2 linked regions of the Arabidopsis thaliana genome follow. The protein of the gene in region 2 interacts with the protein of the main gene of each other region in a pairwise test. Each region holds a gene or a part of one and is shown on either strand. Other genes may lie near its edges.

Evidence for each region.
Region 1: the proteins of AT4G20930 (region 2) and PYL10 interact in binary tests that used the Arabidopsis thaliana proteins (3 or more experiments, as listed by UniProt).

The regions. Positions count from the first base shown.
Region 1 is NC_003075.7:13,891,045-13,907,014, forward strand, and holds PYL10 (PYR1-like 10), read left to right. Parts: upstream 1-10,097; 5' UTR 10,098-10,175; coding exon 10,176-10,298; intron 10,299-10,380; coding exon 10,381-10,599; intron 10,600-10,685; coding exon 10,686-10,895; 3' UTR 10,896-10,956; downstream 10,957-15,970. Other genes in the region: AT4G27900 (CCT motif family protein), read left to right, coding at 726-1,181, 1,399-1,539, 1,653-1,733; SDG16 (SET domain protein 16), read left to right, coding at 3,650-4,429, 4,515-4,570, 4,642-4,855, 4,969-5,097, 5,195-5,263, 5,358-5,426, 5,512-5,603, 5,695-5,787 and 15 more; MTM1 (manganese tracking factor for mitochondrial SOD2), read left to right, coding at 13,701-13,958, 14,053-14,142, 14,246-14,374, 14,526-14,585, 14,665-14,835, 14,977-15,079, 15,281-15,372, 15,480-15,629 and 2 more. UniProt on the Arabidopsis thaliana protein: Receptor for abscisic acid (ABA) required for ABA-mediated responses such as stomatal closure and germination inhibition.
Region 2 is NC_003075.7:11,192,202-11,208,412, forward strand, and holds AT4G20930 (6-phosphogluconate dehydrogenase family protein), read right to left. Parts: upstream 8,906-16,211; 5' UTR 8,836-8,905; coding exon 8,722-8,835; intron 8,411-8,721; coding exon 8,322-8,410; intron 8,216-8,321; coding exon 8,101-8,215; intron 7,915-8,100; coding exon 7,764-7,914; intron 7,635-7,763; coding exon 7,552-7,634; intron 7,421-7,551; coding exon 7,325-7,420; intron 7,194-7,324; coding exon 7,051-7,193; intron 6,949-7,050; coding exon 6,864-6,948; intron 6,757-6,863; coding exon 6,677-6,756; intron 6,514-6,676; coding exon 6,426-6,513; 3' UTR 6,050-6,425; downstream 1-6,049. Other genes in the region: AT4G20920 (double-stranded RNA-binding domain (DsRBD)-containing protein), read right to left, coding at 1,976-2,035, 2,263-2,379, 2,489-2,640, 3,051-3,970, 4,083-4,343, 4,425-4,879, 4,971-5,069, 5,161-5,376; GHR1 (Leucine-rich receptor-like protein kinase family protein), read left to right, coding at 10,527-11,526, 11,638-13,164, 13,251-13,837; AT4G20947 (putative RNA-binding protein), read left to right, coding at 15,508-15,768.

The sequences.
Region 1 (15,970 bases), 2.7 Mb from region 2:
GACCTTTGATGAAATTAAGTTGATTGATGAAGACAATTGGAGTGTGAAGGAGATGGAAAACACTAATTAGTGGATATTAGTGGCAAAGTTTTGTGCTTTAAGTGGTTTTCTTGAGAAAATTTGTGGTAACTGGAAATTTGATTCGATCTATTTGCTGAGCTCACATCTGTTTTGGCTTTTAAAAATTGGGTCTTTCTGGGTAGATGAAAAGACGGAATCTTCTTCTGCTGATGTTTGATAGAACAAAAAAAAAACTCAACTTTATTTTTGGTTTTGAGAAAAAGAAGACCTTTTTATATGTGTTGTGATTATGGGATCATGGGAGTGGCCCTTTTCTCTTTATAGAAGCTGAACTTAGAACTTAATAAGAGTGTATCATACACGATTGACAACAAACTTTTGTGTTTATAGACTATCAGATTCCGTGTTCTTTGAGAATTGTGTTTTTCTTTTTTCAGTTATTCTTTTGCTCTGCTTGGGGTTTGTCGATTCATAGTGTCATAATCTTACTTTCATTCTCCACTATGACTGTAAGAAAGAATAAAAATTCCCTTTCGTTTTACCTTTTTTGAACGAATTCATTTTAAAGAGATCTGTGTGTGTTTGTGCATAAAACCAAAGAAACTCATTGTGTCTTAGTCAAGTTTTGAGTTTTGATCTTGTGGTTTGTGGTTTTGGTTGTCTCTTGTTATGTTTTGCTCATTTTTCTTATAATTGTGATGCAGAACAATCTTGTTGAGGCAAGTGAGTATGATTTTGGAGAAGAGAGTGACCTATTCAAAGCCCCTGAGCCGATTATTGAAGAACCAATGTTAGCTGTTGATCCCCTCTCTCAAGAGCTTGTTGAACTCGGTGATCTCGGGTCGTTGCAGAGTGACCAACAGCTTATAGACAAGGCTTTCTACGACTGTGAGCAGGACCTCCTGGTGAAATCAGCCATGGAGTCTCCGCTCTCCGAGGTACTAGACATCAAGAACATCTCTTTAGTGGCAAAAATGGACAACGATGTGAAGAGTACGAGTGTAGTCGTCTCTGATGTCCCAATTCCGAAGAGTGTGAGCTCGGGAAACTTGAGCTCAATGGATATGGTCGAGCACAAGGATGCGGTGATTCAGGGATTCCCTGATTTCCCTCCAGTGGATTATGGGATGAGAAGAGCCTTCAGTGAAAGCGATATACAGGTTAGAACTGAAATTATTGATATTACTCTTGTGATCATTGAACTCAACCTATACAAGGGTTTGCAAGAATTTAGACTGTGCTCATTCTTGTCACATCATCGATATTTCAGAGAAAGTTGTGACATTTCCCAAACTCAAATGAATATATATAGATATGATGTTGGCAAAAGTTCTCATGTGTATGTTCATCACTTGTGATCTTTTTGGTCTATGACAGACACTGGGGACTGGAAATACGGGTCTTGTTCAGTCTCAGTTGGATCGAATAATCATAAGTTGCACCTCTGAGGACCGCCGTGAGAAGCTTTCTCGATACAGGAACAAGAAGAGCAAGCGAAATTTCGGGCGTAAAATCAAGGTAAAGACCCGAAAAAACAGTTTATATAACACTAAACTCTACTCTTTCTTCTCAAACCCGCTTTGTTGGAAACTGAGATCTGGTTTGTTTCGGTATGTACCGTATGGTTGCAGTATGCTTGTAGGAAGGCACTTGCAGACAGTCAACCGAGGATCCGAGGAAGGTTTGCAAAAACAGAGGAGATGCAGAAATGATGAGGACTAGTTAGGTCTGATGCGGTGTTAAGAATATAATCCCACCCACCTCTCGTTTTGTATATAAGGGGGTTTGTCTGAATAAGCCTAGTAAGGAGTAAGGATTAGGAAGAAAAAACAAGTTGTAGTAGTCAGTCACTCAAGTAATGATGCTTATATATGTTAGATCTTGTGAAGTTATGTATCTCTAAAAGTTTATATATAGAAGCTGTTTAATATTCCTCTCTAATGGTTTGACTTCACCGTATATATTATCAGTATTCTTAGTTTTGCATCAGTTGACATAAGTAGCTTTTGACTTTTGATGAATGACTGTACATGGGGATCACCTTTGGAAAACATGAAAAATGAAACTTTAGCCAAAATCTGATTTAGTATGGTCTTAGTTCCACACATACTTTCCCATTTGTATATGGTTGTGGATGCAACAGACCTGTTGACCATGTTGAGATATATTTGTAATTAATTGAAAAGTTCTAACATATCAGAACACGAAGCTGAACTTTTTCAAAATTCTAGGTTTTGCAATCCTCCTCAAATAATTTGGTGAACTTTATTAATGCTTTGCGATGAAGAATCGATGGTGACCTGTATCATTCTTTGCGAGTATGTTTTGGACTTTTGGGAGCCCTAACCTTAAATTACCATTTCCAATGAGAAAAGCTTAAACCTTGTTTAAGTAAATCCAACGGAACTAGTAATGTTTACTGATAAATAAATCAACCCAGAGACAAACCCCTAACGAACGTGATTGGTGGTCTGTCTCCTTGTTAAATTTTTTGTTTGTAGTTGAGAAAATCACAGAGCTTCTCGGTTAGTTCTAAACCGGAAAACCCCAGAAAGAAATTGTATTATTACGTAAATACCCTTAGAAGAATTGTGAAAAAATTGGTGGGAAACTTTTCAATAATATTTTTGTTTCCATCTTGTAGCTGCCTCTTTCCATCACCGGTGCATATAGAAACAGAGAAACAAATATTTAAAATTTTACATCTACAAAGAGACGACAACTCTCCTGTGTAACAATGTAAGAAGAGCGTTTTCATGGGTTGTTGTTATTTCTTCTAATGTTGTAGTGACTAGTTGTTGTAATCATAACGAAAAACAAACGTAAGAAGTACACTGCCGTAGCCGTACCATGTAAGTTCCATTACAAGCTTCCATAGATTTTCAAACCTCATTAACAAAACATGTATCTGAATTTTCATATCAAATTAAGAAGAGAAACAATTAAATTACAAGAAGAGACACACGATCTTTGAATTGGTTCCGAGAAGAGAAAGAAAACGAGGAAGAAGAAGAAAAAGCGTGTGATGCGCAGGTTAGCTTAATCACAGTAATGTGCACATTCACGCTATTCAGAAGGTGACGCCGATCCAAACGACCCACTTCTTCTGCGTCTTCTCTCTCTTCACCTCTCTGTCTCGCCTTTCTCTCTCTAAAAGAAAAAAATTTCTTACCCAGAACAAATAAAATTTGCCGAAATTTTCAGTCTTTCGATTTAAAACAATTCCTTGACAACATTTCTTCCGGTTTTATCATCCAAATCATAAGAAAGGACGCATTTTTATTTATAAAAATTGGGTCTTTTTTAATCTCTTCTGGAATTTTAAGAGAGAGAGATATAGAGCGAGAGAAGTTAGGAACAGATCTCTTTCTCTTTCTCTTTCACTTTCTCTTTCGCTCATTCGTGCCAAAAGTCTCTTCTTCCATCAAATTTTGTAGCTTTCCTTGTTTGATAGAACGGGTACGCGATTTTCAGTTCTGGGTCAGAGGAATACGGAGGACTTCTCCTCTCCGGAGCATCAGAAATTGAGGTCTAGATTAGGGTTTGTGAGAAAATTCGAGATTTTGGTTGTTGATTCTTAATTGGAACAGTGATGCTCTGAGATTGCTTTTCTGAAATTTGAAGAAGAATGATTATCAAACGGAAATTTAAAACCCAGATACCGAGTTTGGAACGGTGCAAACTCGGTAATGAGTCAAGGAAGAAGAAGAGAAAGTTGAACTTGGGAGGAGGTGGTTACTACTATCCTCTCAATCTTCTCGGAGAAATCGCCGCCGGGATTGTTCCAGGTAATGGACGCAATGGATTCTCTGCTTCCTGGTGCACTGAAGTTACAAAACCTGTTGAGGTGGAAGAGTCATTGTCTAAGAGAAGATCTGATTCCGGTACTGTTAGAGATTCTCCTCCGGCGGAAGTCTCACGTCCACCGCTTGTTCGGACATCTAGGGGAAGAATTCAGGTGCTTCCTTCTCGATTCAATGATTCGGTGCTTGATAATTGGAGGAAGGATAGTAAAAGTGATTGTGATTTGGAGGAAGAAGAAATAGAATGCAGGAATGAGAAAGTTGTTAGTTTTCGGGTTCCTAAAGCTACTAATTTGAAAAGCAAGGAACTTGATAGGAAGAGTAAGTATAGTGCATTGTGTAAAGAAGAAAGGTTTCACGAGCAACATAATGATGAGGCTCGTGCTCGTGTTGATGAGAAGCTTCCGAATAAAAAGGGTACTTTTGGGCCAGAGAACTTCTATTCAGGTGACTTGGTTTGGGCAAAGTCTGGGAGAAATGAGCCGTTTTGGCCGGCTATTGTTATCGATCCAATGACACAAGCACCCGAGCTTGTTTTGCGTTCTTGTATACCCGATGCAGCCTGTGTTGTGTTCTTTGGTCACTCTGGGAACGAGAATGAAAGGGTACGAAGAGACTAATGGCTTTCCAAATATGGAATCTGGCCTTCTTTTAAGTATTCTATTTCTGACTGTTGTTTAATGTAAGCAGGACTATGCATGGGTGAGGAGAGGGATGATCTTCCCTTTTGTGGACTATGTTGCCAGGTGGGTCTCTTTATATAATCAAAAGAAAAGGTCTTAAATGTGGATTAGTGCTTAATTAGCTACTTATTCAGGTTCCAGGAACAGCCTGAACTGCAAGGGTGCAAGCCTGGGAATTTTCAGATGGCATTGGAGGAAGCATTTTTGGCAGATCAGGGATTCACGGAGAAGTTGATGCATGATATTCACTTGGCTGCTGGGAACTCGACTTTTGACGATTCTTTCTACAGATGGATTCAAGAAACTGCGGTCTCAAATCAGGAGCTCAATAACAATGCTCCAAGACAGGCAAGTGTCTCTATGATTTTGGTCCATTTTTATATGACTTTTTTTTCTTATATCTTTTTATGTAAATCTCCTCCAATTTGGGTAATATATCTAATTAACATTATGCTTTGTAGGGGCTGTTAAAGAAACACAGAAATCCACTAGCATGTGCAGGATGTGAAACAGTCATTTCTTTTGAGATGGCAAAAAAAATGAAAGATCTGATTCCTGGAGATCAATTGTTGTGTAAACCATGTTCAAGGGTATGTAGGATCCCTTGTTCTGTGATTATTCTTAGTTTAGTTTGAAGTGATGCAGAAACGGTTGCATACGTGTAAGCCTATTTTGTTGTTGTTGCAGTTAACAAAATCAAAACACATTTGTGGTATATGCAAGAAGATAAGGAATCATTTGGACAATAAAAGCTGGGTACGAAAGTAAAAACATTAGGTTCTATAGTGGTATAGCTTAAGGTTTTGGTTGTTTTCTATTTTGACTTTTTGATATCCGTGTGGCATATTAGGTGCGCTGTGATGGTTGTAAAGTCCGGATACACGCAGAATGTGACCAAATATCAGATAGGCATTTGAAGGTATGTTAATTTTGGATTTCATCAAGGTTACCCTATTATCATCGGCTTGTGTGTGTTGAGATCGAGCTCATTTTATGATCTGAAGGATTTGCGGGAAACAGATTACTACTGTCCTACTTGCAGAGCAAAATTTAACTTTGACCTATCAGATTCAGAAAAACAAAACTCAAAGTCAAAGTAGGCCTCTTCGTCTTAACTTTTATTATTGTTTTCTCAACGGCTTCCTTTTGATTGCCAAATGTCTAAATTTGGGAGTTTTCTGGTACAGAGTTGCGAAAGGCGATGGTCAGATGGTTCTTCCTGACAAGGTTATTGTTGTATGCGCTGGAGTAGAAGGAGTTTATTTCCCGAGGCTCCATTTGTAAGCAGATACCAATTTACATTTCCCCAACTTCTCGCGCTGGGTTTTCTTCTAAAACTAATTCAAAGCAAGATGATATTGAGATTTACCTTACCTAGATTTTCATGTTTCTTTGCTGAAAACTTTCCAGAGTCTTCTTACTCCATCTTGTTATTTACAGAGTGGTATGTAAATGTGGCTCCTGTGGACCTAAAAAGAAAGCCCTTAGCGAATGGGAAAGGCATACCGGATCAAAGTCAAAAAATTGGAAGACCAGTGTGAAAGTCAAAAGCTCGAAGCTGGCACTAGAAGATTGGGTTTGTACAATTACTCTTCTGGTTTCTTTCAGAGATATTGGCGTCTTTCTTTTGAGTTTGATCTGACTTACTCAAAAGGAAACTGACATATATACCTGCCCTACCATTCACTTACTCTGCAGATGATGAACTTAGCAGAGTTACATGCAAATGCTACTGCAGCTAAAGTTCCTAAACGACCTTCCATAAAGCAGAGAAAGCAGAGATTGCTTGCTTTTCTATCAGGTAGAAAAGGAAATGGAATCCTGTAACATGTTGCAGTGTTTTGAGTGTTTTTGTGATGCTTTTGTTGGCTTTTCCTTTCGTTGTTGGCAGAGACATATGAGCCGGTCAATGCGAAGTGGACAACAGAACGATGTGCAGTTTGCAGATGGGTTGAAGATTGGGACTACAACAAGATTATTATCTGCAACAGGTGCTTTTTAATCTTTTTTTGCTCTAGTTTTTTTTCTTAAAACCATGATTTCATCTACCTAAATAATGGGACTTGCCGTTAGACTTATATTTTTGTGCCCAATCTTTGGCTCACGTGGAGTGTGTAAGATAGGGTTTTCTTGCTAGTTTATGTGGATAAGATATTTGAGCCAGAGAGCTTTCCATTTTAACTATCATGTCATGTCCTTTGGCAAACAGAAGATAGTTGTTTTCTGTGGATCACTTTATGGCGACTTGTGAAGTATCATCCATTATCATTGTTTCATAAGCAACTTAGATAAATGTTTCTTTCATTTTCTTGTCAGATGCCAAATAGCAGTGCATCAGGAATGCTATGGCGCTAGACATGTTCGTGATTTCACCTCATGGGTCTGTAAAGCATGCGAGAGACCAGATATCAAGCGGGAGTGTTGCCTCTGCCCTGTAAAAGGTGGCTTTATAAAGTATATTCAGCTTTTTCACATAAACATATGGCACCACTGCCTATTAACTATATCCATTGGCTCCGCTATGTTGTCACTGATGATAGGAGGTGCATTGAAGCCAACTGATGTGGAAACGTTGTGGGTTCATGTGACATGTGCTTGGTTTCAGCCTGAAGTATGTTTTGCAAGTGAGGAAAAAATGGAACCTGCAGTTGGGATTTTGAGTATTCCATCAACTAATTTTGTGAAGGTAAATTTAATATTAACTTATTGTCTTTAATTTTGGACCTTTCCATAACTGTCTGCGACCAAAGCTAAATTGCATGAAATCTTCTTCGTTTTGATGGATTTCAGATATGTGTAATATGCAAACAAATACATGGCTCGTGTACTCAGTGTTGCAAGTGTTCTACATACTATCATGCCATGTGTGCCTCCCGAGCTGGTTATAGAATGGAGGTATGCTTACTGTTTGACTGTTTCTGATCTTTCTTCATGAGATCAGACGACACTGACTTTTTCTATACATGCTTTTGAACTAACTGGAACGATCTTTTTTATATAGTCGTATAAAGTGAAACTGGTTTCCGATAGATAATGTGTTTTTAATCTTTACTTAAAGGAACTTGAGTTTTTTTTTTCCTTTGCAATTTATTATCTTACTCCATTTAAATAGGCATATTTCCATGCATTTTGTATGTAGTTGCACTGCTTGGAGAAAAATGGTCAGCAGATAACAAAGATGGTGTCCTATTGTGCTTATCACAGGTGAAATTTCTCAGAACTCTGCTTAAAGAATTTTTGGTGTTACGATGTTGGTTTATGATTTATAAGTTTTATCTATTGTTTTTGGTGTGTAGGGCTCCCAACCCAGATAACGTGTTAATTATACAAACTCCTTCAGGAGCCTTCTCTGCAAAGAGTCTTGTCCAAAACAAGAAGAAAGGTGGTTCCAGGCTTATTTCATTAATCAGAGAAGACGATGAAGCACCTGCAGAGAATACCATTACATGTGATCCATTTTCTGCTGCTCGTTGTCGAGTATTTAAAAGAAAGATCAATAGCAAGAAGGTAATATTGGGTCTTATCCACAAAAAGTCTGTATGTTTCGTTGCACATCTCCTTTGTCCAGTAGGCTGATCTTTGTTTTGTAGAGGATTGAAGAAGAAGCCATTCCTCACCACACAAGGGGACCACGCCATCATGCATCAGCAGCAATCCAAACTTTAAACACATTCAGAGTAAGAAAGTCTCCATGCAGTTCTTCTACTCCGTTTCTTACTATTATTTTTTGGATCTGACATTTCTGGGTTGTATTATGTGTAGCATGTGCCAGAAGAACCCAAATCGTTTTCTTCTTTCAGGGAACGACTTCACCACTTGCAGGCAAGAATTCTCTGATGTTTGAACGAGATTGGAATGTTCAGGTTTTATTTTTTGATATTATCGGCTGTAACATGTGTATGTTTAATGTAACAGAGGACAGAAATGGATCGGGTCTGCTTTGGGCGATCTGGAATTCATGGATGGGGTCTTTTTGCAAGAAGAAATATCCAAGAAGGAGAAATGGTATGTCAGCAGACCCATTTGTGATATTGTGTTTGGTCTATTTGGGATGAGGGGAGTGTTTATTGTCGAGAGGTGCTATTGTATTTCAGGTTCTTGAATACAGAGGGGAACAGGTGAGAGGTAGCATTGCAGACTTGAGAGAAGCACGTTATCGCAGAGTAGGAAAGGATTGCTATGTGAGTTGAAAAAGTTTCCATTTTATCTTCACAAATTGTCTCTTCTCTCTCTATCTCTCTTAACCAAAAGAAGGATTTATGTTGCAGCTTTTCAAGATCAGTGAAGAAGTAGTGGTTGATGCTACAGATAAAGGGAATATAGCTCGGCTCATCAATCATTCGGTAAGCTGCTTGGCATGGACTTTTTACGTACAAGAAATTTGACAGACTGTTAAAGCCTAAATCAAAATACGTGGTGTGTAGTGTACACCAAACTGCTATGCGAGGATTATGAGTGTAGGAGATGAGGAAAGCAGGATTGTCCTGATAGCCAAGGCCAATGTAGCTGTGGGAGAGGAGTTAACGTACACAACGCATTTCTATATATACCATTCTTCAATCTAAAGCTGATTGATTGTCATAGTTTAAGAAATGTTGTGTGGTGTTTTGGCAGGTATGATTACTTATTTGATCCAGACGAGGCAGAGGAACTCAAGGTGCCATGCTTATGTAAAGCCCCTAACTGCAGGAAATTCATGAATTAGAATAGAAAGGTATAGATCCTCTAAGTTTACTTCACAGGCTACAACACCAAGAAGAAAAGGCCAAAGCAAGATTGTCTCTTTTTGCTCCAAAAACAATAGATTTATAGGTAGAGAGAAAAGCTAAGTGATCCAAGTCTGATCTCTTCTGCCTCTCTGTATAGACAAACTCGTTTGTGTCACCATTATCCTCAAAAGAATTCAATTTCATTCATTTTGTTCATTTCAACGAGACTTGAGCAGAAAACTTGGGATAATTCCAACTGTTGTGACCGTTTTACCCTATAACCATCGGTTTACTACGGTTATACCGCGAAGGTGATGAGTCAATTCAATTGGGAATTGATTTTCCTTTCGCGCCGGTTTATGAATCGTGCTTTCGTCAAGTGCCATGTCAGACGAATTGTAGTTTGCTGCTGATAAAAGATCTCGTAATGGTTTTCTTAAAACACTTTTAAGCGTTTTTGACGGCCCAATTGATGCGAATATGGATTGACTCTTATCTATACTTCAGATATGTTCAAAGCCACACAAGGTAAATTGCATAACGGATAACAATTCCCATAAGAAAAAATGTTTCGGTGTCAAACTGTATATGAGCAATTCTGAAACATTCTAAAGATTTTGTGGTTATGTGTTAAACTTAAAGCATTTGATAGAGAGATATTTTTCAAAGAAATAGGAAAAAATAATGTTACAATCCTCCACATTAATGTTTACAATCCGTCCATCTGTACTTGACATGTCGGATCATAATCCAAGATAATGGGAATACAGATATAAGTTAAAAATGAATTCACTCATAGAAACTTGGAAGGCTATATTCGTCAATATAAAAGAGCATCCTTTAAATAGCTGCACACTGGTACAGTGGTTCTACTATTGAGTGAAAAAAAAAAAAAACTAAAGGCACGAATAATTTTTGTCTAATCAAAATTATTTAAATTGCTGCTATTTAAGATAACGATGAACGGTGACGAAACAAAGAAGGTGGAGAGCGAGTACATCAAGAAACACCATAGACACGAGCTTGTAGAGTCTCAATGTAGCTCTACGCTCGTTAAGCACATCAAAGCTCCTCTGCATCTCGTAAGCTTTGCTTTGCTCTGTTTTTCAAGTGTTAAAGATAACGATTTTTGAGATGTTAAATGATTTGTTTTGTTTGGAAAAGGTGTGGTCAATTGTGAGGAGATTCGATGAACCACAAAAATACAAACCATTTATCAGTAGGTGTGTGGTACAAGGTAAGAAGCTGGAGGTTGGTAGCGTAAGAGAAGTGGATTTGAAATCTGGATTACCAGCTACTAAAAGCACTGAGGTATTAGAGATTCTTGACGACAATGAGCATATTCTCGGCATCAGAATAGTTGGTGGTGATCATAGACTCAAGGTAAATTGAAATTTCCTTAAATGTACCATTCATTCCGACAAGATTATTGTTTTTTTTAGAGCTTAATTTGTTATTTGTCCAATCAGAATTATTCTTCAACCATTTCGTTACATTCGGAGACGATAGACGGAAAAACAGGGACATTGGCTATAGAATCGTTCGTGGTGGATGTGCCGGAAGGTAACACAAAGGAGGAGACATGCTTCTTCGTGGAGGCTTTGATTCAATGCAATCTCAATTCTTTAGCAGATGTTACCGAGCGTCTACAAGCAGAATCTATGGAGAAGAAGATATGAGATGTGACTTGAGAATCTTTTCATTCGGAAAAGAAGGAAAAAGACCAAAGAAGAGAAATAACTCTTCCCTTTTATAGCAATGTCTATGTTTTTTCTTCTTCTATTTCCATTTTCTGAATGTTTGTATATTATTGGAAGTTTGTAACGAAATGATTTCGAATAGCTGTCAAACGAGAAATATAAATTCAAATTTGTAAGTGTTTATATGAAATGCTTTTTTATTTTTAACATTTCCACATGAAAATATAAATAACATATCATGACACATGCAAAATCATATTTATGAAAGTTTTTTCAACTCTCTCCATTTTTTCGACATATCAGCATTAGATAGAGTGACACTTATCACATCAACATATGAATTACATTTCTTATTTAATTTAATGTATTTAAGAATTTATAATCATGCATTAATTCTTTCTAAATTTTTTGACATGTTTGAACTTATTAATTAAATAATTTCAATTTAATTAGGTACAAAGTATATCAAACTCACATAAATAACTTATTTAAATTAAATTATATAAATCGTATAAACTTATGTATAAACATAAAATTAATAGAATTTTAATGAACTTTTAGATTTGATTAAAGTATAAAAATTAAATAATATGATATAAGAATTTATTTCATGTTTTCATATACTAATATATATATATATATATATATATATAAAAGATTAATAACAATTGATATTAGTTAAATTTACGGTTTAGTTTAAGGTAAACCCAAGATGCTCTCATCTGGAATTCTGTTATGATCTGTACGTCCTCAAAGTTCCAGAGATGTTGAGAAAGATCAAACATCAGCAGCGTCAGAGGCTTTTTCTCTGGAGAGGTGATGTTGAATGGCTCTATGCGCTGCTCGGAGAGCAAAAGAGTCTTGAAGAAGACTCTAGCAAATCCATATTGGCATCTAAGCTTGATCTTTGTGTTCCTGTTATGAAACACAGAATCTAGACTGAGACTGAAGTTGGATACCTCAGCTTTGGGATGGAGAATACCGGAACTCTTGGCCGGAGTAAGAGGATGGAAAGCATGCTGAAGATGAGCAAGAGCGTTCCAAGAAAGACTATGACGAAGAAAACAAATCAGAAATATACTAAGTATGAGTTGTTTCAAAGAACGTAGTAATGGTTTATAATAATATTAACAATAGAATAAAATAAATAGTAATGGTTTAAGAAAATATTAATAATAGTGAGCAAAAGCTAAGCAAAATATAAGCAAAACATAATAACATAGTCAAAATAATATGGAAATGACAAGTATATAAATTATATGTTAAAAGTTAAGAAATTGACTTGGAGGTTTGTGTTGGGATTTTCCCTTAACTTAAATAAAGGTTTTAAATGTGAACAAAAAAAGTTTGAAGTTTTAGTTGGGAAAATGTTTTGATTTGGAGGTTTGTTTTGGAATTTTTTCACTTACCTAAAAAGATTTTGGTTATTATTAACATAAAATTCTACTAATAACAATTGATATGCTTCTTCGTGTTAAAAACAAAAAAAAAACAATTGATATGCTTCTTCTTTTTTTGTGCACCCAATAAATATGAATTAAATAAGCATTTTTAATAGATTTATCTCTTGATAGGGTATCCATCTAAACAAATACAAAAAAGAATACATTTAACCAAAATGCTTATCTAATGTATATTTAAATGTAAAACTTTATTGTATTTGTTAATTTAGCAAAAGATAAAATGTCTAATTGCTAAATCATATTTACAAAATATAATATCTGTTAATTAAATCATGATTCAGTTGTTTGGGCTGTTAATTTTGTTTTAATCCGTCTTTGGGCTTGACCCTTCTGTATTTGCCTATTGGGCTTTATGAATGTTATGAATGAAAATGAATAGTCACAAAACAAAAGAAAAAAAACAGAATTTGAGTCGGTACACAACTGTTAACGAGGTGTACTTGGTGGAATCATAGACACGTGTCTTGACACTCTTAAGGCCTCTTCACCACCAAATTACTTCCCTAACAAAAGAATTATTATTATTGTGAAGCCCCAAAAGATCGAACATTCTAATTCAATGGCCTACTTGCTGACCAAGCAAAAAGGACCGGCTCCGTTTTCACCTAATTCCGAGCTTCACAACGTGCCTTCCATTGGTTGAATATTCAACTGGTTTAACCAAACCGAAGTTACACATACGATTTGAGTCGGTACACAAATATTACGAGACGTACTTTGTGGACAGTTTGACACGTGTATCGCCACTCTTTATCCCTCTTCACCAGTCACCACTCACCACCAACTTAAAAATAAAATAAAAAGAGCATATATTGTGGAGCCCCTTACATGATCGAAAATTCTCGTTCAAAAGCATTCGTTAAGACCGTGTGTTGTGTGTCGTTTTTTGTCGACGAAAATTAGACCGGCTCTGTTTTTATTGGCTCGTTTCGATTGAAAGCGTGGCTATAATTGGTTTAACCAAACCGAAGTCGACGTCTCGGTTTGTTCGGTTAAGATTAAGCCTTGTAGAACATTCCAAAACGCCGCGTCAAAGCTTTTAGGGTTTGATTCTGCTGTGTGGCTACCCACTCAAGTCTCCAGTGTTCCTTTGTGGCTCTGGTTTGCCCTATTCTTCTCTTCCCCCTCTCTCTCTCTCTCTCTCTCTTGTTTTCTTTTTCCCTCTTCTCCAAGGAATCTGGAAAAAATTAAACCTTTTTTCTAAATCCCTGGAAATCAGAAAACTTCCTATTGAGAAACCATAGATTCGATCCAAGCCTTTGATTGTATCAAAATCTCTGCTTCACCAAGAATTTGGGTTGATACAGAAGAAAAAAGTTAAATGGTTGAGGCAGAGCGCGCGGAGAATAGTTGGATTGCTTCGGAAACGTCTCCGTCGTCGTCTCCGGTGGTAATAGAAAGCAGTGATTTTTCGATAACTGATGGAATGAGAGATGTGAGCGGATTTGGTATAGCTTCTCGACCTCAGTTGGACAAGGGTTTGTCGGAAAACAATATAGGGTTCACGGAAAGAGTTTTCTCTGCCGCCGGAGCTGCGGTTTTGTCCGCCGTTACTCTAAATCCTCTTGACGTTGTCAAGGTAGGAGCTTTCTATTGTTGTCTTGATTCATCTGGGAAATTATATCTTCTTACCGGCGAAGATCTAATGTTTCTGTTGTGATTTTGTTTATCAGACTCGATTGCAAGCTCAAGCCGCCGGAATGTCGTACTCTCACCCACTCAGTAACTCCATTGGACGCATGGCATTTTTTGGCCCAAACATGGTATTGTCTCTGAAATTTTTATTTTGTATGAGTGTTGTTTTAAAGGTGAATACTTTCTACATTTTCACTACTCAGTTATGTAATCAATACGGTTTCGGTTCAGATGTTTGCAGACTTGAGATGTTCTCCTTCATGTGCACGCGCTGGTGTTGAAGGTACTGTTTCTATTTGCCCACCGGATTGTTTCCAGTACAAAGGAACATTTGATGTCTTCACCAAGATCATACGACAGGTGAGCATCTCTTTTCATCTTGTTGAATGTCTCGCAGTGTTAAGAAGATGATGATAAGTAGTTGTTTGAGAGGTTTTGTTTTTTGTATGTGGCATGCTTTTTAGCTAGAAGCTTACTATTTCTCTATATCCTAACGCAAGAACTGATGCAGGAGGGTCTGGGACGCCTTTGGAGAGGGACTAATGCTGGTCTTGCCCTAGCTGTGCCCATGGTATGCTCTTTTGCTTACATTTACGGGATTCTTTTGTTTGGATAGACTATGGATTAGTAAACTCTCAAGTTTTGCACAGGTTGGGATATATCTCCCATTCTATGATATGTTCCGCAACCGGTTGGAAGAATTATCTCGGGAGAAAGCTCCTGCTATGACATTTTGTGTGCCTACTGTGGCAGGGTCTTTAGCGCGGTCCTTAGCTTGTACAGTCTGCTATCCTATTGATCTTGCAAGAACGCGTATGCAGGTATTGGCTTGTACTTCTTCTGCGTGTGGTATTCTTGTAACTCTAGATGAGTGTTATGCTTTTCAACGAGATCTTTCTTTATGGGTAGTACTCTTTCTGTGACTCGCTATTCATATTGTATTTACTGTTTTCTCTAAGTAGGCATTCAAAGAAGCAAAAGCCGGTGTGAAGCCTCCGGGAGTTTTTAAAACTCTAGTTGGTGTTTTCTCTGAAGTCAGGACAGCAAATAACCTTGAAAGTAGCTGTAAGTTGCTTCTTCCTTCTTCTCAAGCAACAGAAGTGACTATTAATATCCCGAATTTGTAACTCTCCAACGCATGTATAATCAAGTAGAGCATACCACTTAATTAGCAATCACAACCCAAGATGCATGCGTGTGGACATTGACACCAAGAGCCAAGGTTTTCTTTTATTTAGTCTTTGATATACATCTTTCTTGGGACAGTGCACAACTATCGTGGTCTCTGGAGAGGCTTGGGTGCACAGCTTGCCCGTGATGTTCCATTCTCAGCAATCTGCTGGTCGACCCTCGAGCCAGTAAGATCTTTAACATGTTTAAGCGTTTTACGATGCAGAAGGTTTATTTTAAGGCAGTTTTGCCAAATACAGTAAGTGAATTGCTTTGACCTTCCCTTATGATACAGATAAAAAAGAGGCTCCTTGGAGTTGCGGGCAATGATACAAATCTTGTTGGTGTTTTCGGTGCAACCTTTTCTGCTGGATTTATAGCTGGAAGTATCGCTGCTGCTGCTACTTGTCCTCTTGACGTTGCAAGAACAAGAAGACAGATAGAGGTTTGTTTGCTTTCCTCCAGAAACATGTTTGTTTACTTGTGTCACCATCTCATGTTTCTCCCTTCCATTAATTCAGAAGGACCCTGGTAGGGCATTGATGATGACGACACGACAGACACTAATAGAGGTTTGGAGGTATGTATATGCATATTTGAAAGATTCCATTTTTCATTTGTTAAAAGCTCTATGTTTGTTTTGAAACAAAACATAACAAGAAATACTTGCACACACAGGGATGGAGGGATGAGAGGACTGTTCATGGGAATGGGTCCACGAGTGGCACGTGCAGGACCATCGGTAGGGATAGTGGTTTCCTTCTACGAAGTGGTCAAGTATGTTCT
Region 2 (16,211 bases):
TAAAATATGAGTCATATCATATGACCAAAAGTAAAAGTGTGATTAAGGAAGAAACATGGAGATTTTAAACAGAACTAGATTTTAACCCGCGGTATACCGCGGGATGATTTATTTTTTTAAAGTAATATCTATTAAAACTTGCAAATTTTATTTTTATAAAATATTTATATTTTACAGTTTATAATTGTTATTAAGTAACGCTATACCACGAATCCATGAGACAATTGTTAAAAAACTGAAGTTTAACCCCTTGTAAAACAGCATATTAATAATATTTTAAAATTTTATAAATATTGATTCAAATACATCCACCATATAACCCAATTCCAAAATAAAACCCGTTCTGTAATTCCTTTACCCGTCCCGTAATATTTTTTTAAAGTAATAATTTTTAAAATTTAAGAATTATTTATTATATATAAAAGTTTTGCAAATTGTATCATTCTCTAACACATTTATATTTTATAGTTTAATTTTATATATAGTAACATTATACATACCACATAACATTTTTGGTTTTATATAATCTTTTCTAAATTAGGATGATTTGATATGTTTAATATTAGTGGTCTTAAAAAATAATAAATTAAAGATTTAACCCGTATTCAAACAGTGGATTAATTATATTTTATTTTTTTATTAATGTTGATTCAAAAACCCGTCTCTCCAAATCCGTCTTGCCAAAAAGCCATTTATTTTATTAATATTAATTTTATTTATGATATGACTCTGAATTATAATCTGAATATTTTAGCTAATAACATAGGAGTGCACCATATTTATTTAATAGGAGAATGTACCATATGACCCGAATGCACTTTTATCCAAATCCACTAAAAAAGTCTTGCAAAAATACTGTAGAGATAAGAAACGATAGTCGGTTTTGATAGGTATAAGATTAGCAAATATATTAGGTAGCTTAAATTAGTTAAAGAATACAAATTGAAAAGATATATTACACTTTATTCGAATATAGTATCAAAACTTATATAACACAGAGATTTGATAATTGTTTAATTGTTGAATACTTTTTTTGTGCTAATTTTTATGTGATTAAGATTTAATTGATTTCGTATATAAAATATTAAATTGTTTTACGAACTTATTTGTTTATAATTTGGTAACAGATAGATATTTGAATATTTAGTGTATTTTGCTTCAGTTTAGGAAATCTTTGATGACCCGTCTTTAGATCCAATAAACCTTATAATTAAGAGATGAATATTGTTGTTAAATGATTTTGGTAATCTTAATGACGTCATTAAAGATTTTTGTTTTTGATTAAATTTTTCTAATGGCATTGTCATGTAATTAATTACAAAAATTAAGGTTACATTTAAAATGTACTTTCCAAATAATATAGTAGAACTAGGACAAGTAATAACTTATCAAAGATTAGTCTTTTTCTCTCCATTTCCTCTTTGACCATTTCCATATGATTTTATAAGGCTGCATCGAGCCTTCTGAGACCTTCTCCACTATGTTGGACAAAGATATCCGTCTAAAAACAACAATTTGAGAAGCAAACCCGGGGTCTCCTTTACCAGACCCACCAACACCGCTAAAATAGACGCTGTAGTTGTGGCGTTTAGCGAGTTTAGATGCCCACTGCTTAAACTGTTTCCTTGTCCATTCAAACTTGTGGTCTTGGTTCCTGAATTTTGGTAGCTGTGAAGACATGGATCTGTTTTTTGGGTGGTTTGGAGGACCAGACTTATGGAAATTTGTGTTGTACTCGATGTTTGGTGTGGAGACAATCAGAAGTTTCGGGCGAAACAAGCTTAGAACTGTTTTCCCGAATTGACTGGCTTGATCCTCCTCCATGTGTTCAATGACCTAAAGATTCAAAACGGATTATATTGAATATTAGAGAAGCTGCTGATGAAGAAATGAAGCAAGAAAATAGAATCGAACCTCTAAGCAAGTGCCGATGTCAATGTCATGCAGCCTGGAATCAAACTCAAGGATGGAACCATCATGGAGTAAAGTAGATTTGAGGTTGCAAGCTCCCTTGTTTATTTTTGAATGTAGCAATCTGAAATTATAACATGCAAAAATATCAATGTAAACCAACAATCTTCAATCAACCATCTCTTTCCAATGATAATAAAATACAACCACGTTGGAGAAACATGTTACACGACCTATGACTTGTGTAAATGCAGTTTTGATCAAACATATATCAAGTTTTTAAGATGCATGACTCTCATCAGGTTAAGTCTACAAGTGGAATATAACAAAGTGGTGTCAGATTTCACATACCTTAGCAGCACGGGTAAGACTCTTATGTGAGATGTCAACGCCAGCAATGGTTTGAAGTGAAGTTGGACAGTCAAGTATAGATGCTAGTAAACTTCCAGATCCACATCCAAAATCAACCTGCAACAAGTATAGAGGCTGAAGTATTAACAAAAAATTCCCAGAAAGAACTTGGAATCACAATAAGCAGAAAGACAAAATGATTAATTAAGAAACACAAAGAGCCTACCAGAGTAGAAGCTGACGATTCTTTAATATGTTTCACTACATATTCAAGACGCTGTTTTGAAAGTGAAGGTTTGAAAAAATCCGCCTCAATTCGTTTTTCTGTTGGCCCTTTCACTCCCAACAAACGTACACAGTATTCAAAACCTGCGACATCTGTGCATTAAAACCAAAGCAACTCATCATCAGAACTACCGTAGCTTGGCTGCAAATCTCTTATATTAGTCAGAGGTATATGTTTGTTACTTGTTCATGCGCTGTTCAAAGCAGAAAACCTTTGAAAAAGCACAGAAACACTTCATAAGAACCAAAACAACAAATAAATTTTAAGAGTGATGCTGCCTTCACCAAAATAGTACAGAACTCATTAAACTCATAGGACCAATTGCAACAGAAGAGTTTGCAACAAAGTAACTAAATTCTAGATTCAACTAGATAGTGAATTTTAGTCCTAAGTCCGCTGGTAAAGGCTAGCCGGTTGCATTTGTAATAAACAAATGTCATCGAGTTTTTTCCTTTTCTAACCACAAATGTTAAGAATTTCATATACAAATTAGAAGCATTACCTGATAAAAGTGAACGATCTCTCTGGGTACCAGTGGCAGCAGTCACAAACAAGTCTTCAGCAGGCGCATTAGTTAAAAAACGAGCATATTGGCCCACAACCAGTTGAGTAACAACTGCTTCAAGATGTGGATTCATAGAACCATTCCCCACCTCAAACTCTATCTCTTCATTGCTTTCGATGAGTTCTTTTTTAGATTTACCATCCTTTGAAAAATCAGCATCTACATCCAAATACACAGAATAGCATATGCTAACCAAGGAACCCTTTGTTATGGTTTGAATACGAACTTGATCCTCATATTGATTCATTTCGTCTCTATTTCGGAAATGTCCCTTTGGAACAGCCTCTTTCATCAAGATCCTCTGTTGAAATACCGCATCCAGGTGATCATCCGTATAACATATTTGCAGTGGGTCCCCATCCCCCTCGTCGAAAAGCCTACTTAACCATGAGAGGGCATTCAACGAAGCATTTTGAATAGCATGGTTTTCCTTCTCATAGAACTTTCTGGACGAGCAATCTAAAACCAAATCCTGGGACTTTGAGAGAATTTTCACTTCACATCTATATCCAGTCCCTGATTCTGGTATCTCCTCTTTTCCCTTGCTCGTATACTGATATTCGCTATCATCACATTCTGAGTCTTTCTCATCACATTCTGAATCTTTCTCATCACATTCTGAGTCTTTCAACTTCTGGTAGGATCTTAATATGCAAGACATTGGTTTCACAGGAGCAGTAGATATAGTAAAAATGGGCTCTACCAGTTGTTGCTGGCGGCAGAACATGCAGAGAATCTCCCTGGGGAATGGACCTCTCCAAGTAGACTTTGTAGTGAATGAAAAAGGTAACTGCGCCGCTATTATCGCTTCTCGGGATAATTTATAGATTCCATTAGGAGAAATACCGCAACATATCCTACAGAGGCCAAAAAACTGGTGAGATATTTAGTGCTTCAGCACTAGACCAAAAGATATACAAAGGAAAAACAAAACATAAAACGGAGCAAAAGTTGGTAGAGGTAAGAGACTTGTAAAACGACTTTAAGGTTACACCATCATGTTCAAGATCATGGGACCTCCATGGGTAACCAACAGATGCCACGATCGCATCACCGTGAATATCTACACCACAAACAAAACTTGCTTTTGCATTCCGAGACTTTTCAAGATGTGATGATTCAATGATTGGACGTTTTTCACGGGCTTTCCATGAATTATCGGAAGACTTCAACTTAGGAATGGCAGCATATACTCTACACTCATAGCCAGAGGAAGTTTTGCCAATAGTCCTGATGAAAATCCAAAATTAGCTTTAGTAAGATTAAAACTGAGAAAGCTCCATTTATTGACAGAGAAGACAAAATACTCACCTTGATATCATCACTTGGCTGCCATCCTTCAATCCAAGCTTGTCAGCAATAATATCCAAGTAATACCGACCTGATGAAATATCAAGAGTGACTGGCTTAACAACCTCTTCACCGCCAACGGTACATTGTAAATGCACAGCCTCAGCTTTTATGCTTTTCACATGAGTAGTAGCCAGTGCTTTAATAGTTGCTGGAGGATACGGTTTTTTCCTTCGGAGTGAATCGACATGCGGAGATACAACAATGTAGTCCGGCAACTTTGCAGCAGCCTTCATGACATAGGACATGAGCAAGATAGGATCTGATTCTACAGAAGGATCAATCACTTTACAGCGACTGTTAATCTTTGCATCAAATGTAGCAATGACAGAAACAGGAAGTGATCCGCAACGTTCGCCATCCCTTTGCAATGCCGCCCTTAGGTGACCTCCTAGAGGATGATCAACTGAAAGAAACTGCAATGGCAACAACTTAAACGTTAATGCCAATAGAGAGAAAAACCAAATTAACTTTTGGACTATGGACTTGCTTATGACCTGTACTAACCTCATCAGAAAATATATACTTAATGCGTTCAACGATATTATTCCAAGCTTCATCCACAGTTATATCAACATCATCATCATCCTGAGACTGAATTCCTAGCTGCAACATGAATAGTATTGTACTTTTTCACATAAACAGTGTTAAGAAGTCTACTAAACAATAAGAGCAGAGAGATGTGTCAAAAGTATACCTTCTCGAGAGCCAATTCAGCAGCAGATTGTTCGGAATCCTTTTTTCTCTTGAAGACATTTGATACAACAGAAAATTCTGGTAGCTGCAAGTGGCAACGATAGAGGCAATCATTCGAAGAAACATGAACTTCCTCAATTCTGTAAATTGCTTTAACACCAAACTTCTGAAGTATCATCTCCTTTGGAGTAAGAGTCTGCTTCTCCTCACCCGCCATTACAAACTCACTGAGGCTTCTTTCTACACTGAGACAAACAAAAGAACTATCTATGATTCATATAGATACTTCAAAGATCATGAAAGATGGTAACTTCAGTGCAAACTGTACGGCTGCTCACTGCACAGAACCCCAAAAAACTAGGGTTTTTGAAAGAGATACAAGATGATGACCTAAATTCGGAGACTTCAGGTTTTAAGACAGACAACAGTAAGATGAAACAGAGGAACATGAGTCAAAAGCAACGATTTTTCGCGCGAATGAAGCAGAAAAACAGGTAGAGGTTGAAGTAACATTACGAGGAACGAATTGTCATAAACAGAAATGATGGTGTGATGAAGTCGAATTTCAGAAAGAACCCATAAGTAACGAAGCGAAACACAAGAAGAAGGATCAAAGACGTACCTTTGAGTGTTGAGGGAAACTAGTTTGAGCAACAGAGAGAATGAAAAAAGTTGGGAGATTTCAAATGTAGCGGTGTGCTGAAGAAAGCGAGGGTGGTTGTAGTCATTTCACATTGTAGATATTAACACAAACAACTGTTTCCGTAATTGTACCGGAGATTCTGCAAAAATGGTTTGGTTCTCTCATTGGTGACGAAGGTGAATCTTCATTAACTTTAGGTAAATAGCCAAGAATGATTAATAATCAAATTAAATACGAATATAGATAAGGAAAATGGTATATTTACGGATTGGTTAGCGAGTAACACTGTTAAGAAATGTAATTACACCATAGGTGACTATTGTTTGAATTGTTGTTGACTTTTTTCCGGGTAAAAGAAAAGTTTAGAACTTTGACTCTGAGCTTTGTTTAATCCTCTCTATAGGATCCTTCATGCTTTATTCTTCGCTGACCTCATAACTAATTGATTGGTGATTCCAAGAGTAATGTTCAACACCAGAGAGATGTTCTCAAACTAATTACAATTCACATCGCTTATTAACATCACAGCCTTTCCAAGACTTTTATTATTCTTAGCAATGAAAATCAACAATCTAAATGCACAAAGAAACCGGTTATTTTGCAGGGTCGTTGTTAAGATTGTCTCAGACCTCATCTTTCCCATTGTAAAAGTGTCTGAAAACACAAGAGAAGTCCTTCGTTTCATGTCCTTCCTCGCACATCTTCTTGTAACTGCAAAAACAAAAAAACAAAATCTTCAGCTTGATGTGTGTGCTTTTTGCTTCATAAGAAATTTCTACGTTGTTTCCATAAAGTTTCATTCACAAGCCTTCTTTGTTCACAACAACTCATAAGGAATAGAGCTTCTAGGAGAAAAGACTACTGAAGTACTCACATTTCTTGTGCTTTGGATATCAATGGGCTTTTGTGTCCAACTTCTTCAGCTGAGGCTGCTGCGAGGTTTAGGTCTTTAGCCTGCATTTCCAATACACTATATACATGAAAGACTTGTGTAACAAAAGAAATGTGCTTTAGAGACATTTTACAGGATCAATGATATAGAGATTTCTTAAGAAACTGACCATAAGTTTGGAGGCGAAACCGCCATTGTAATCCCTTGAAGATGGCACACCTTTCATCACTCCTGGAACTGGATTGTATGCGTCACTGCGGTTATCATAATATAAGGAAAGGAAGTTAAGAATTTGGTGTGCTTGCTCTTGATGAGAAGACGATTATAAATTTGAAGAGGTCATTTCATTTACTTACCTGCTCCAACAACGGCCACTAGATGTGTTTAAGACTTCTGTTAAAGTACTGGCAGATATTCCAAGTGACTGACCAAGAGCTAAGGCTTCTGAAGTGCCGAGCATACTCACGGCCATTGCCAGATTGTTACAAATCTTTGCGGCCTAAGTTTAAAACAAAACATGTCGTTTCTCAGTCTATTATCCTTAAGAATTGTAGAGACAAATATACCAAAGATCAAGATAATAGAGATACTGTAACAGAGTTACGGAAACATGGTATAAAGCGAACTTACAGATCCATTTCCTGAACCACCACAGTAGATGGAGGTTCTGCCCATTGACTGAAGTATTGGTCTAGCGGCTAAGTAAGCATCTTCGGGACCTCCAACCTACAGAACGTGCAGTTGTATCAATGCCATTGTGCTCTTGTAGGTATACAAGCACACATAATCTTCAAACTTGATGTTATATAAAGGATGTGATTCAAATAATGTAGAAGATAAGAGAGTCGTCAACATACCATGAAAGTAAGTGTACCAGCTTCTGCAGCAAGAACACCTCCAGAGACGGGAGCATCCAACATGACTGGCTTTTCCCAATTATCTACATCAAAGATGCTTGAAACTAGTGAAAATGAAACAATCTCGACTTGTTCACAAGAAGAACAAAATGAAGCTGTTGTTAACTCATAAGAAGAAACTAACTTCCTTCCAAATCCTATCTAAGCTTTACCTCTCTTTTCTTTCAAATTACAATTAGAAACAGCAAGTGAGATTTTTCGAGTTGTTTGTGGATCAATAGTGGATGAATCTATAAACAAAGCAGGTCTTATATCATTTTCTCCAAGAAGCAACCCATTTGTTCCTGTGTACACATCCATCACCTACATCAATCACAATTTTTTTTCCTTCATAAAAATCATCCAATCAATTGAAGATTAACATTCTTTCAGTACCAGGAGTAAACAACAATACTATCTCGTAGACTAGGTGCAGCTAATCATACAGCTAACAGGACGATCTTTCAAACTGTTTTCATATAAAACTATTGCTAAAGGTAAATAACTTACATGAGATGATGAAGGCAACATTGTAATCACAACTTCGCTATCTTGTGCAACTTCATAAGGAGTTTCTCTAGAAGAGACTCCCATTTCAGTGAACATTTTCATAACATCACGGTTTCTGAAAATTCAAACACAAGTATATGCACAAGAAAGTTAATCAAAGGAATCAACATTAACCAAATATGAAAATTGATAGGCAGCAAAACGCACTCAAAGTACATTACATGTCATGAACGGTAACTTTATATCCAGCTCTAATTAGATTATTCACCATTCTGAATCCCATATTTCCAAGTCCTATGAAACCAACATTCTGACAAAACAGCAAAAATGAGACTTCATTTACATAAATTTTGGGTACTGAATCAGACAAATTTTGCTGTTAAAAATCTAATCCAGACAACTTTTTTTGCAGAACTGATGAATTTAGATAAGTGGTCAAGATCAATAAGCAATTTGGCCACTAAAATTCTTATTAACTATGCTCGAGATTACAAAAGTTAAGATCTTTTATTCCAACTACCTTAAGGATCATGTTTTAGAACGTTTCAATAAAATTCTAGGTGACTTATGAGGAAAAGAGATTATGTTTTCTGATCATGAAGACAATTTAAAAAGCAGAACCTGGAATTGATTTGAATTTTGAGACGAAGAAGAGAACCGGTGGAGCGACCCAGACACGAAATTGGTTTTGAATTTAGAAAGACAAAGTAGAGTTTGCGCTCTGCGAATCGCCATTGATGAATTTCTTCAAACTCAGAGCAAGTTAACAATTAGCAAATGAGAGTGAGTTTTAGACGTAAGTGTGTAATCTCATCAAAACACTCAGATTTTTGTTTTTTGAATTATGACCCCTTAACTATTAATTTATTCTGAACCCGGACATTTACTTTCAACATTATCAGTAGAACCCAAATAATTGGTCTGATGCCCTTGTCTCTTCCGGTCTTCCCTAGTCAACGTAGTCAGCATGTGGGACCCATTTTCCTACGCGGTATTTATTTCGCTTCTACATTTTCCTACTAATTAATGTGGTATCAACTTCAAAAATATTTATTTGTCCGAATATTCATTACTATTTTTTCTGGATTGTTCAAAAAATCATGTTTCATTTACTACACATTTTCCTTGCAAGCTTTTAATATCTGTATTTTGGTGTAAATAACATTCACTCCGAACTCTCATTACTCTTTTTATTTTCCCTATTATTTATTTATGTAAATTCATTTATTGCAAGTTTCTACCAAAATTTATTAGAACACTGCGCAATTTTCGCTTATTTTCCCAATGCTGTAAATCTCTCTCACTAAAGGCAAGGACATAGACTCATAACCATATTGGATAAACCCTTTCACGTCCACCATGGTCACACTCACTAAAAACATTAGTGTAAGTAGCTTTTTTCATTTTTTTTGGATTCCTTTCCCGGGCCATTCCAGGCGGGTAATTAAACTATATTTTAAATCTTTCCTCACTGAAAAGACTATGAAAAAGTAAATTAATATATAATTTTCTTCTCGTGAACCCATGAAAATAATTTCTTGCTATTTTACTTTTTATTTAGGGTTTTTGATTTGGTGTCCGTTCACACGCTTCAAGACTTACCCTTTTACAAGGTCCTTGTCGTTCGTCACTGTCGAACGTGAAAACTAGCAAAACATTTTCTCTATCTTTAATTTTGTTTTGGCTTCTTTCTTTTGTTCTTAAACAGTGACAATCTTTTAAGGGTTTTTAATTTTTAAAGTGACCCACAAAGATTTCCCTCAGTTAGCTCAGTGACTCAGTCTACAACACTGTTGAGCTTAATCCAAAACCCCGTGCAGTTCATGAGCTAATGAACAAAATGATTCTGCTTTAAAGTTTTTGTCTTCCTTCTTCTTCAACTCTGTCGACATTGTTCTTGCAGTGAGAAGCTTTTTTCATCCCCGTAAGTTTAAAAATCCTCACTTTTCATTTATCTCTTTGCTTTGGAGTTAGGTTAGATCTCGGAATGGGACCCAAATATTGAATAGCCCATTTGTTCATTTAATGTTTTTTTCAGCTGATTCCCTTTGAGTGAAGATTGTCTCTTCTCACTCAGTAGCATTACTGCATTTTGTTTGATTGGGGTTTCTCAGAAGATTTGTTCATCTTAGGTAAAGTTTCTTTCTTTAGCTTCTGTTTTTTTTTTTATCAGAGTGAAATTTCTGGTATTGTTGATTTTTGCAGAAAGATTTAAACTTTTTTTTGGTAACATTGATGGGTTTTGTCTTATTTCATTATGTTTTATGTCAGATTTACTTGGGGTTCCATGAATTTTCTGCGTTGGTGAGCTGGAAAAGTTGTTGGGATTCTTCAAAAACTGTAGCTTTTTGGGGGAAAAGATTTGAAGTCAAGGAAGGATGAATCTTTCTAGGATTTTGTTACTCTCCATGTTTTTTCTATCTGCAATGGGGCAACTTCCATCACAGGACATCATGGCATTGCTTGAATTCAAGAAAGGCATCAAACATGACCCTACAGGGTTTGTCCTTAATTCATGGAACGATGAGTCTATTGACTTCAATGGTTGTCCTTCTTCATGGAATGGTATTGTCTGCAATGGCGGTAATGTGGCTGGTGTTGTTTTGGATAATTTGGGTTTGACTGCTGATGCTGATTTCAGTCTGTTCTCCAACTTGACAAAGCTTGTCAAGCTATCTATGTCAAACAATTCCCTTTCTGGTGTGTTGCCAAATGATTTAGGCAGTTTCAAAAGCCTCCAGTTCCTGGATTTATCAGATAATCTGTTCTCTTCTTCATTGCCTAAAGAGATTGGTAGATCAGTAAGCTTGAGGAATCTTTCTTTATCTGGTAACAACTTTTCTGGTGAGATTCCAGAGTCTATGGGTGGTTTGATTTCACTTCAGTCGTTGGATATGAGTAGCAACTCCTTATCTGGACCTTTGCCAAAGTCCTTGACAAGGCTGAACGATCTGCTGTACTTGAATCTGTCTTCTAATGGATTCACGGGGAAAATGCCAAGGGGCTTTGAGTTGATTTCAAGTCTTGAAGTGCTTGATTTGCATGGTAATTCAATTGATGGTAATCTTGATGGGGAGTTTTTCCTTTTAACGAATGCGAGCTATGTCGATATCAGTGGAAACAGATTGGTGACGACGTCTGGGAAACTGTTACCTGGTGTTTCTGAGAGTATCAAGCACTTGAATCTCAGCCATAATCAGCTTGAAGGTTCATTGACTAGTGGGTTTCAGTTGTTTCAGAACTTAAAAGTCTTGGATCTTAGCTACAACATGTTATCTGGAGAATTACCAGGTTTCAATTATGTCTATGATCTTGAAGTTCTCAAGCTTAGCAACAACAGATTCTCAGGTTCCCTTCCCAATAATTTGTTAAAAGGTGACTCTTTGCTTTTAACAACGCTGGATTTAAGTGGCAACAATCTCTCAGGTATGCTCTTGGCTTTATCTTCTACATAGTGGAAATTGTTATATGTTAACGGTGGCACCAAGAAAACTAGAAATCTAATATTTTTTTATTGGTTTTCCTTTTGTGTTTCAGGGCCAGTAAGTTCTATCATGTCAACTACTCTTCACACCCTTGATCTTTCTTCAAATTCACTGACCGGGGAGCTTCCTCTCTTGACTGGGGGATGTGTTTTACTCGATCTCTCAAACAACCAGTTTGAAGGAAATCTGACAAGATGGTCAAAATGGGAGAATATAGAGTACCTTGATCTAAGCCAGAACCATTTCACTGGGTCGTTCCCAGACGCAACTCCCCAGCTTCTGCGAGCAAATCATCTTAATCTTTCCTACAATAAGCTCACAGGCTCACTTCCAGAACGGATTCCAACTCACTATCCGAAGCTTCGGGTACTTGATATAAGTTCTAACAGCTTAGAAGGGCCAATTCCAGGTGCGTTACTATCCATGCCCACTTTGGAGGAAATCCACCTTCAAAACAATGGCATGACAGGTAACATCGGACCCCTGCCTTCTTCTGGTTCCAGAATCCGTCTTCTTGATCTTTCTCACAACCGGTTTGACGGGGATCTTCCTGGTGTATTCGGGTCTTTAACCAATCTTCAAGTGCTGAATCTCGCAGCAAATAATTTGTCTGGCTCTTTGCCTAGCTCCATGAATGACATTGTCTCTCTAAGCTCATTAGACGTATCCCAGAATCATTTCACTGGACCACTCCCAAGCAACTTATCTAGCAACATTATGGCCTTCAACGTGTCATATAATGATCTATCAGGGACTGTGCCAGAGAATCTGAAGAACTTCCCTCCGCCTTCCTTTTATCCTGGAAACAGCAAGCTCGTCTTGCCTGCTGGGTCCCCTGGATCAAGTGCATCAGAAGCTTCCAAGAATAAATCCACGAACAAACTTGTTAAGGTTGTCATAATAGTTTCTTGCGCTGTTGCTCTAATTATTCTCATCCTTGTGGCTATCCTCCTTTTCTGCATCTGCAAATCAAGAAGGCGCGAAGAACGTAGTATTACTGGTAAAGAAACTAATAGGCGGGCTCAAACTATCCCCTCAGGCAGCGGAGGTGGTATGGTTGTCTCTGCTGAGGATCTGGTTGCTTCAAGAAAAGGCTCATCATCCGAAATCCTCAGTCCAGATGAAAAACTAGCTGTTGCAACCGGCTTCTCTCCTTCTAAGACCAGCAATTTGTCTTGGTCACCTGGCTCAGGAGATTCATTCCCAGCTGATCAGCAACTAGCACGGCTTGATGTGAGGTCACCAGATAGACTTGTGGGAGAGCTGCATTTTCTGGATGATTCAATTAAGTTGACTCCAGAGGAATTATCAAGGGCACCAGCTGAAGTTCTGGGAAGAAGTAGCCACGGCACTTCTTACAGGGCAACGCTGGATAATGGAGTGTTTCTAACAGTGAAATGGCTAAGAGAAGGAGTGGCAAAGCAGAGAAAGGAGTTTGCTAAAGAGGTGAAGAAATTTTCTAACATTAGACATCCTAATGTTGTGACTCTCCGAGGGTACTATTGGGGTCCAACGCAACACGAGAAGCTTATTCTTTCAGATTATATATCGCCTGGAAGCCTTGCCAGCTTCCTTTACGGTAATGCTCCTTTCAATAAACTTCTCTAAGTATTATATGTATGTGCAGTATTTTTCATCAAGCTTACGGTTCTTGTTTGATGACAGATCGACCGGGCAGGAAAGGCCCTCCCTTAGCCTGGACCCAACGGTTGAAAATCGCAGTTGATGTGGCACGTGGTCTAAACTACCTCCATTTCGACAGAGCTGTTCCACACGGTAACCTCAAGGCAACAAACATTCTCTTAGATGGAGCAGAGCTAAACGCGCGTGTGGCAGATTACTGCCTCCACCGTCTCATGACACAAGCAGGCACAGTCGAACAGATTCTAGACGCAGGAATCCTCGGTTACCGAGCTCCCGAGCTAGCAGCTTCAAGAAAACCATTACCTTCTTTCAAATCAGATGTATATGCGTTTGGTGTGATACTTCTTGAGATCCTAACCGGAAGATGTGCAGGAGATGTAATCACAGGTGAGCAAGAAGGTGTTGATCTAACCGATTGGGTTAGGTTACGTGTTGCAGAAGGGCGTGGTGCAGAATGCTTTGATTCGGTATTGACTCAGGAGATGGGAAGTGATCCGGTAACAGAAAAAGGCATGAAAGAAGTTCTTGGGATTGCTTTGAGGTGTATAAGATCAGTTTCTGAGAGACCTGGTATTAAGACCATTTACGAAGATCTTTCTTCTATTTAGGAACAATGTTTTTTTTTTTTTTTATGTTTTGTAGGTTCCAATAGAGTTTGGTTCCTCTGAATGTGTTCTCCTTTGTCAAGTTCATGTTCTGTTTCGGGAGAAACATGTTCTTGATTCAAGGTACTAGTGTGTTGTGTCTTCTGTTAGTTTACTTTACATTTTCCCTGTAAAAAAACGAAATCTGCTCATGTCTCATGAGTGAATGAAATTTCATTTTTTCCCATTTATATTCTCTCTTCTTGGAAGTTGCTAAATTGTGTTTCATGTTCCGGTTAGACTTAACCGAGTCTTTGAATTAGGAATCTTAACTTAGATGTTACGTTTTGTATTATATATGATCTTTCTCCAGACCCTAATCCTAGAAACCCTAATCCCAAAGTCCGAATGGAAAGACCAATACATCTCCCGGAGGCTATATTGACGGAGATTCTAGCGAGATTGTCTTTGAGAAGCATCTATAGATGCAAATCGGTAAGCAAAACATGGAAATCGTCAATCAAAACATGGAACTGTTGATGCACGAATCACACAAGTACGAAAATGGGATCTCTAGGGAAGGAAGAAGAATCTTTCTATTAATGACGAGCCCGCGACTTAGGCGAATTGGACGGATTACAAAGGATGATTTCTTCAACAAGCATAAATGGAAAAAGAACGAGCCGATTGTAGATGAAAGACGAGCTTGAGGCCGGAAAACGATCTTGATATCCGAGGAAGAATAGAGTTTATTCGTTTTATAGCTGAACCTTGGAACTTATTTTGGGGTTTTGACTTGGGTTTGGGCATTGGGCCAAGTAGGCCCAATCCGACCCCTAACAGTTGCCCCCCAATCCTGATGCATCGTTGATGACGTGGATCAGGATTTCAGGCGCTCGAAACTCAATCGAAGGAAGTAAAAAGTCGCGCATGGGGAAGACGCAATGTTTGGTTTGTCTTTCAATTTTCTCAAGGTTCGGAGATCGAAGCGTCGCATGGCTTTCAAAGTATAGGCTGCTATCACGACGATGTGCTGTCTCGGTGATAGTCAAGCGAGACGACAAGGAAGGTTAAAAGGGGCCGCCTCGAGTGTTGCGTGACCGTCACATTTCTGAAGAGCCTCCTGGATCAAAGTGGTCGTCTGGTGTTCAAGTTGGGATGTTCGAGTCATTCGAAAGTGGTTCTTTGAGGGGGAGAGGGAAGAGACGAGGGTCGTTAATCGTGATGAACAACGAGCGAGTGTTCCGAACTCGTCCGATGCGTTTTGCGTGCCAATGATCATTATTGGAGTTATCGTTTCGTTTGAAGGAGGCGTTCCTTTTGCTTTTAACTCGTGTTTGTGCTGAGCTCGCTGTTTGAGAGGCAAGACTGCTCAAGCGTTGGCCGATCTAGACAAAATCTTGAGCCGAGGTTGAAAAGATGAGTGGAAAGTATAATAATTTAGTTGAACGTGCTTTTTCAGGGAGAAAAGAGCTTTGGGAGCGTCGGTTGGAGTATGACAACTTCGTTCAAAGGTCGGCGGTTGATAAGATGGCGGAGCTCATCGAGAAGCGATTGGATCGGATCAAGACCTATATTGACGATACGAAGGTGGCGGAGCCAAAGTTTTTCAATTCAATCAAGTGTATGGAAACATCAAGACTCTCGAGGCGTCGATCGAAGGCGGCGAGGTGGAGATAAAGTCGGATGAGACGATGTCGAGATTAGAAGCGGATGTTGAGGAGTTGAAGGACGAGGTGAAAACCTTCAATATTCATCATCTCATGGTCGGAGAATTTGGCGTTTATACTATATTTACCGAGCTCAGGTCTGAACTTTGTTACTCTGCTTTGCTTCAGAGTAGCAAGGAAGATGACGATCACGCAGATGGACGAGATGGTCAAGAAGGTCGAGTCGGGGAACGAATCATTGATCAGGTCGTAGTGCAAGATGAGACCACGGGCGTCGACGGCTGAGATCGTAGAACCTTCGTTATTCGTGCGTTTCGTTCAAGGGTTGAGATGGGCGAGTACGACTTTATCGGTGCGTCATTTAAGATGAGCGCATGATCGATCTTCTGCTGTGATTCGAATGTGCAAGTGCAATCGTAGGCAGCTTTAGTTCGTCGAAATGGTGTAAGCATCGAGCTTGTACGGTGAATTCTTCGGGGGGTAACGGCGTCGAGATGATTTGTATAGCGATTACGGAGGTGTAGGTTTGGCATACATATATATATATATATATATGTGTATATATACCCCCCCCTTTTTTTTTTGAAAAACAAAGCCGGTGTGGAACTCGATCATTTGAGAATTTTTGCGAATCGGCGTGGCGGTTGAGTGTGCAGGCGTTGACACGAACGTGCGAACGGTGAACTCGGTGCTCATTGCGAATGATGCGTCGTTTTTGAAGCGAACGA